Linked DNA regions of Callithrix jacchus. The protein of the gene in region 1 interacts with the protein of each later gene in a pairwise test. Links are inferred from orthologs where the notes say so. Each region holds a gene or a part of one and is shown on either strand. Other genes may lie near its edges.

The links. The genes of interacting proteins can lie anywhere in the genome.
Region 2: the proteins of CACFD1 (region 1) and LDAF1 interact in binary tests that used the Homo sapiens proteins (3 or more experiments, as listed by UniProt). The two-hybrid records come from large-scale screens. The link is inferred for Callithrix jacchus from reciprocal best matches to the Homo sapiens genes CACFD1 and LDAF1.

What each region holds. Positions count from the first base shown.
Region 1 is NC_133502.1:182,067,780-182,071,340, reverse strand, and holds part of CACFD1 (calcium channel flower homolog), read right to left. Parts: intron 3,069-3,561; coding exon 2,996-3,068; intron 1,267-2,995; coding exon 1,141-1,266; intron 1-1,140. UniProt on the Homo sapiens protein: Transmembrane protein which mediates synaptic endocytosis and fitness-based cell culling.
Region 2 is NC_133513.1:22,329,021-22,333,134, reverse strand, and holds the start of LDAF1 (lipid droplet assembly factor 1), read right to left. Parts: upstream 2,804-4,114; 5' UTR 2,578-2,803; intron 2,295-2,577; exon of another isoform or gene 2,239-2,294; intron 1,546-2,238; exon of another isoform or gene 1,344-1,545; intron 1-1,343. UniProt on the Homo sapiens protein: Plays an important role in the formation of lipid droplets (LD) which are storage organelles at the center of lipid and energy homeostasis. In association with BSCL2/seipin, defines the sites of LD formation in the endoplasmic reticulum.

The DNA of each region.
Region 1 (3,561 bases):
ACCTGAAAACAGATCTTAAGGAAATCATCATAAACACAGAAACAGTCTTAGCAGATAGATGCTTATCGCAGTTCGATTTATACCAGTTAAGAAATTAAGAAAACCATGATACATCCAGCTGAACGAATATTCCTATATTAAAAGTGATGTTAAAAATGCTTATATCATTACACTAAGTGAAAAAAGCAGGATACAAACTTATTCATAATGGTGATAGCTGTGTTAAAAGCAGGCTTTTAAAAAACGCCCGCAGACAGGAAGCACACACATCAGAAGAGTAGGAGGCAGCTGGCTTCAAGTAACACTGTTCCATCTTCCAAATCATAGTTAATGAATTTATAGTATGGCTAGCATTTTTAAAGTACAGTTGTTTGAACTCCGAAGGACATGACACTGCGGAAGTTGAGGTCTGTGATCCTGTGTTCTTCGTGATTTAGACAGAGCAGAAGACGGCTCCAGGGCTAAGCACCAGGCTTCTGCTCTTACCATCAAAACTACTGGGCCTCTCTGAAGGGAAAGCAAGCTTGCACCTGCACCTCTTTCGAAAGGTAACCTGGACAGTGATAAATGCTGCTGCCGCCAGCCTCCTGTCCACCAGGGGCGTTATTCTAGGAGCTTCCATGTATTACGCTTATCCTGAAATTAGTTCCATCGTACCACTCAGAGGAGACGTATAACAGATTGATTTCGTTGTTAGAAATGGGAAAAACTTTGACAAGCACATTTAGAGGGCAACGACATTTTCTGCTCTACAACCTGCTTCTCCTCTCTCATGTCAGGACACCTACATCAGCCCACTCTTCAGAAACACATCCTACAGACCTACTATCATCTGGTTAACAACACCCAGTGGATGAACCAAAGTTCCAGACGCTTCCCTTTTCTCAGCTGCACGGAATGCTGCCACGCATGCTCAAACACCTTCCAGTGACTGCAGCACAGCGACAGCTGAGTTCCCGGTGCAGAACCACTGGGGCAGGTTTGGCAGCAATCAGCAATCACTGCACAAAGGCCGTCCGGGTTTACACTTCTACACAGAGGAGACGCATACACTGCCCACCCTCACCTGACCTGTGGGTCACATTTTGTCAGTGGGTTTTGGGGAACTGTGTCACAGGACCCTGCCCAGCAGCCCCTCACCCGCAGTAGAAGACAGCCTTCTGCCAGGAACGCAGCCGGTCCACCTTCTCCGCCACCGTGTTTGCAAACTCGACGAACTGGCAGCAGAAGGGCGCCTCGCACAGCAACAAGATGAAGGCATTCATACTGCAGGGAGCAGGGCAGGAGAAAAGCATCGACTGACAATCCCAGGGGACGGGGGTGCACAGTGCCAGTGCCACATGAATGCCACCTCCCTCGCCCTCCTGCCCCCATCCCTCCTCCTCTGGGAAGGTGCCTGGCTGCTCCAGGGCACCTGCTTATACCCACCAAAGAGCCTCTGCTGAACACTCCAGCACTCCCCAGCTGCTCCTGCACACCCATCTCCCCAGCTGAACTCAACACTCCTAGAGGAAGCCCCCGGGCTTTTGCTTCCCTTTATCCTCCTGTGTGTGAGACGGAGGAGAGTACCCCACATCATGGCACTGCTGTAAGGCTGAGGCAGGGTGCCCACAGATGGAGCACCTGGCAGCTCTGTCTGCTGTTAATTCACATCGCCACGGCCACCAGCATCCATCAGTGGCATCAGCATCAGGAAGGCTGCCCCACCAGGGAGGCAGAGAGCTGGAGCCAGGCAGTCTCAAAACAGTCACGGAGGGCTGCCCACATACCCAATGCCACCAGCCCAAGGCCCAGGGACACCCAGGGGAAGCCCACGCTGGGAGGAAGAACTTTAACAAGTCCTTGCATCCGGCCCCGTGTTTGGGGTGGGAACAGCTAAGCCACTGGTGACAGAGAGTGTCTGCCGTGGTCTTGGTATTCTCAATGTGTGGGTAACAGTCAGTTACCAGACACTGAGCCAGGCCCTTCTGTCTGTCCCCAAGCCTAGGAGAAATGTGCCATCATTACACCTGTGTAACAGACATGCAGCTCAGGACACCCCAGAGCCACCCTAAACCCAGGGCAGAGACTCTCTTCACAACTTTTAACCACTGCATCCGGCCCCAAGCCTCCCACACACCAGGCCTCCAAGCATCAACTCACTCTGTGCTGGGCCAGCCCTACCACTGCAAACTCGGCCAGGCTCTGATGCCACCCCGAGGCTGGGCCCAGCGCCTCTCCTCTGTCCATCCCCATTGCTATCCACCACTGGCAAACACAGGCATTGGTGACCCCACAACAGCAAGCCCCCAAGGCTCTCCACTAGCCATAGGTCACTGAGGAAGGGACCTGAATCTCGTCCATCTCAGTACCCCTCAAGACCAAGCCCCACGAGGACACTCATAAATTCTTGGTACACAGCCACTTCTCATGTGCCCTCACTGCACCTTCCCTTCCGATGGGATGGTGCCACCTGGCAGGAGGCGGTCATGGAACGCACGTGATGGTGTTCTGACCACAGGTTCCCATGACCACTCTGACCTGCCTCTCCCACCCATATTTGGCACAGCCCCGAGCTAGAGCACCCTCTCCCAGTGGACCCTCCAACCCAGTCCTCAGCCAACCCCAACAAACAGCCTTCCCCACCCCCATCCTGGGAGCTCCCAGAGGGCAAGGGCCCCAGCTTAGTGGATTTGGCACCTGCAGTCTCAGTGGGTGCTCCAGGAATGTCTGGAGTACTGGATGGCCTCCTGCACTGGATGAAGGCCGGGGTGAGCATTCCCCAAACCCTGACCTCTCACTGGGAAACCGAACATGGTGGGGGTAGGAAGTAGGAGAAGACCCATGCTGTGGCCAGAAACCCATGAGCCCTGAGGCGCTCAGGTGGGAGCCAGTAACCATGGCAACCTCAAGGACACCAGCTCCTGCAGCCCCTGCCTCTCCTCCACCCCGCGGGGTGCCCCGAAGACCCCCAACCCGCAGGACCCCTGGGGTGGGACAGCCATGCACTACTCACATCATCCACACGCCGGCTGCAATGTCCAGAGGGTGGATGGTGATGCAGTTGAAGAGGCCAGAGATCGCACAAGCTTCAAACAAGAGACACGGCAGAAGTCAGTGGGAGGCAGGCAGAGCCCGCTGGCATGGCGGCCTGGGGAGATGACTGGAAAGCACCAGAGTCCCTGCGGATGCGCAGCACACAGTTCTCATGACACCCAGAAGCCTGCCCTCTATCATCTGAGACAGGTGGGGAGACACAGAGTGGTGCCATGGCTCGCCCCAGGCCCCAGAGCAAGGTGGCAGCAAGGTGGCAAGTTGATCTCACAGCTGGCCGGCTCTGGGCGCTGGGAAGGCTATGAGAGCATCTCGCCCTCTCTCCGCTCCAGGGCTCAGAGAAACTGGCCCTTTGACCCCAGCTGCGTCAGTGCACACCTCAAAGGGAGGTTAGGATTAAAGAGAGAATGTCCCTCAAGGATTCAGGCCAGTGCTCCCCCGAGACTCTGCCTTCAGTAAGGGTCACTTGTCACCATTCACAGGGCCGGCCACACAAGAAGTCCTCTGACTCAGAAAATATGGCTTGGA
Region 2 (4,114 bases), on another chromosome or scaffold:
TGAAAAGATGTTTATGATACTTTTTTTAAAAAAATGACAAAATGTTAACTATTATCTCTGAGAGCTTATGTTTATTTTTTAGCTTGACAAAATGCTGAAAATATACAGAAAGAAAGCCGAATATATGATTTCGAATCTCATTGCCTTTTATTTTCCCTAGAAAGTTTTCTTGTACAACAGCAGCCTGTTGTCTTCTTTATTACTGCACAGGTTGGCTCCCAATTCTATCCTTGCAGACATCATCAGTTTATTTACTTCTGGGTAAGTCTGTCCTTGCTAAGGAGAACTCCCAGCCAGACCTCACCACAATAATTATACTCTAACTAAATTGCCTGGAATTTCCAGAGCTGTCCCAATCTCACACAATTTTTACTTATTTTTAATAAAGGCCGTTGGTTAAATTAGATATATTTTTTAACCCTCATTTTCAAATATAAAAAAAAATTATTCTTATTTTATATTTCCCAGAACTGGCTGGATACGGAGATATCTTTTCCATTTCTCCCTATAAACTGACCTCCTGACCTACAGTACAAATGTTTAAAAGATTCTCTCCACATGGCCAAAATTAATTGAGAGATCTTCACATTTATCATCTTGAATATCCCACATACTAATTGCATTCATTACAGGGGTATTTTTTTTTTTTTTTTTTTTGAGATGCAGTCTTGCTCTGTTGCCAGGCTGGAGTGCAGTGGCCCGATCTCAGCTCATTGCAACCTCAGCCTCCCGTGTTCAAGCGATTCTCCTCCCTCAGCCTCCTGAGTAGCTAGGACTGAAGGCACGGCCACGACGCCCAGCTAATTTTTGTATTTTAGTGGAGATGGGGTTTCACTATGTTGGCCAGGATGGTCTTGATCTCTTGACCTCATGATCTGCCCGCCTCGGCCTCCCAAAGTGCTGGGATTACAGGCGTGAGCCACCCCAGCCCAGGGGATAATTTTATCTACTACTAAGATGTATAGGGTCTAGTGTGCAAATTAAAACACATTTTAATCATCCCAGCTAGACATCCTCTGCTACTTCCCTTTTGTAAAACAAGAAACCCTTTGGAGGGAGAGGTTAAGGAGGGGACTAATCCCCCCACCTAACATTCTCTCTTTCAAGCAGCCGCATACATCTTGAACTTGGGATGTTCCCAGCACTCAGTTCCCCTACTCTCATTTCTGCAGCATCCAGAAACAAGCCCAATTCCCCTTACAGGCCCAACTCTCCTTTGGCCTGGGAGCCTCAAGTGCCACCCAGACAGGCCTGCGGAGTCCGACGGGGGATGAGTGGGGAGAATGCCATCGCCTTCAAATCCCCTACCTGGCCACCAGTTCCCAGACCCGCTGGTTACTCACTCCTTGGAGGAGCCTCCCCAGGCACTGAGCTGTCTCCCGAGAAGGGAAAGCGGGAACCCGGCGCGGCCAAGAGGTGCCCCGCCCTCTCCACGACTGGGGGACTAGGCCAGGCCAATACCAGCCAACCCTCTCCCCTTCCAAGTCTCCAAATAAATCTCTCGGCTCTCCCACCCTCGCACCTCCAGGGGCAAACGGCTATCTCGAACATTCTAACTGGGAGGAGGGGATCACATCTCCGGTTGGGGGATGGGAGCTGCAGCGTGACTCAAGCTTACCTGGCCGCCCCCTGGCCATCTGAACCTAGCTTTTCAGCCTTCAAAAGCCAGGGAGAGGAGGAAGAAAGTGAAATGCAGGTGGAGAGGGGGTCCGCTCCCCAGAAGGCACAGAGGCTGAGTAATGGGAACTCAGGGGGGAGTAGAGTACTTTGTTATTAACTTGGGGGAGAAGCCTCCTTCGATACTTGCAGATCTCCTCTCTACAGTGACCGGGAAGAAGACCTCGGTGGAGAAGAGGGGCTGGGTGGTGAGGAGGGCGTCCGTTTTCAATAACCCTAGGGAGGTTTGCCTCGACGTCTTCCCTGCCAGGTTTCCCAGGAAGGGGCACAGTCTCGGGGTGTGGTGGTGCTAGCTACCAGTTAATCTCATCTAGTGGTAGTCTGTGTGTATATTTAGGGGTGGGAAGGAGTCGTGTCTCCTCGTGCGCTCCCAGCCCGGTCCCAGTGACTCACAGGCAGGAGACGGCCCTTACACTAACCCCGGGACAGAGGGTTCGGGCGTGGGACCCCGATCGCGCGCTCACGCCGTCGCTCCCGCGCTCCTCCGCTGTCCTGGCCCGGCGAGGGGGGTCTAGCCAGCCGGGGTCCCCGGACCCCTACTCCCAAGCTCCCAGCTCTCACCTGCTCCTGGCGGCCAAGCAGCCCCCACCGCGTTTGCAGGAGGAGCGAAGAAAGGCGGAGGAGCGAAGAGAGGCAGGAGGAGGAGCAAGAGGAGGAAGGAAAGAGCGTCCCGGGAAGGAAGCCACAGCCGCCTGCCTCCGCCGCCCGGCCCGGGCACCGCCCCTCGGCTCTGCCTCGCTGGGCTCGCCCCGCCCGCGGCCGGAAGGACCCGGTAAAGGCACGCCAAGGCCCCCGCGCCCAGGCCCGTGCAAAGCGCGCTCCACATACAAGCCCGGAGAGGTTGACAGATGAGGAAACTGTCCCTTCCCACACTCCAGGCTTGAGGAAAGCTCAGACTACCTTCAGGACAGGCCGGCTGGCCGCCGAGAGTGAGTTTTCGAAGGGTCTCAGGGTTTCCCCTCCTGTATAACCAAAACCAGCTGCTCTGGAACGTATCTGGAGCTCAAGACACACACGTGATGAAGCACCACCCTGGCTGGAAGTTTTCTTTTGTTTTTTGTTTTTGTTTTGAGTCGGAGGCTCGCTCTGTCACCCAGGCTGGAGTGCAGTAGCGCCATCTAGGCTCACTGCAACCTCCGCTTCCTGGATTCAAGCAATTCTCCTGCCTCAGACTCCCAAGTAGCTGGGATCACAGGCATGCCCCACCACGCCCAGCTAATTTTTTTGTATTTTTGGTAGAGACGGGGTTTCACCATATTGGCCAGGTTGGTCTCGTACTCCTGACCTTGTGATCCACCCGCATCAGACTCCCAAAGTGTTAGGATTACAAGCGTGAGCCACGGCTCCTGGCCCCTGGCTGGAAGTTTTTAACCATGACTCCTGAAATGCAAATGTCATAAGCCAGTGAGATCCTTCCAGATGGTTTAGATTAGTATCTCCATTTTACAGATGAAAAAAATCCAGGCTGCGAGAGACAAGATAAATCCACCTAAATTCCTCAGTTTGTAAGGATCCAAGTTGGAGCAGGAACCCATGTTTCACCTGGCCCCAAATCTTACAGCAAGGTTTCTCAATAGTAGGCTATTGGCCTTTGGGGTGGGATAATTCTGTGCTTCTGAGCTGTGCATTGTAGAATGTTTAGCAACAGCCTGGCCTCTTCCCGTTAGATGCCAGTTACAAGAACCCCCCACCTCCAGTTATGTCTCAAAATATTGTCAAATGTCCCCTGGGAAGCCCCATCATCCCGAGTTGAGAACCACTGGTAACTTACTATGTGACCCAGTAACCTCTCTGAACCATGGCTTCAGCCATAAATTAGAGAGAAGGATAAGCCCAGCCATGGGTCTGCTGTTGCACACTTCTCAGCCACTTTCCAGACAGGGACCTGTGTTGACCACCCCTCCTCTGTGCCTGAGGCCCCTCCTCTGGGCCTGTGGCCATAGCAACCTGGAGAATAAGTCTTTAGATAAAGAAAAGCTGACAGAGCACAGTGGCTCACACCTATAATCCCAGCACTTTGGGAGGGTGAAGTGGGTGGATCACTTGAGGCCAGGAGTTCCACACCAGCCTGGCCAACATGGCGAAACTCTGTGTCTACTAAAAATACAAAAACTAGCTGGGCATGGTGCCCCCCCACTCGTATTCCCAGCTACTCAGGAGACTGAAGCAGAAAAATCGCTTGAACCCGGGAAGTGGAGGTTGCAGTGAGCTGAGATCATGCCACTGCACTCCAGCCTGGGCAACAGAGTGAGAATCTGTCTCAAAAAAAAAAAGAGAGAGAGAGAGAGAGAGAGAGAGAGAGAGAGAGAAGCAGTCACAGGGTGGTAGTGAGGACTGGTGCAAAAGTGACTGTCAATAACTTAGCACCTAAAGTAGGGGCTCAAAAATATTTGCTGGTATTATTACATCTACTACCTAATATTTCTGGAAATAATCA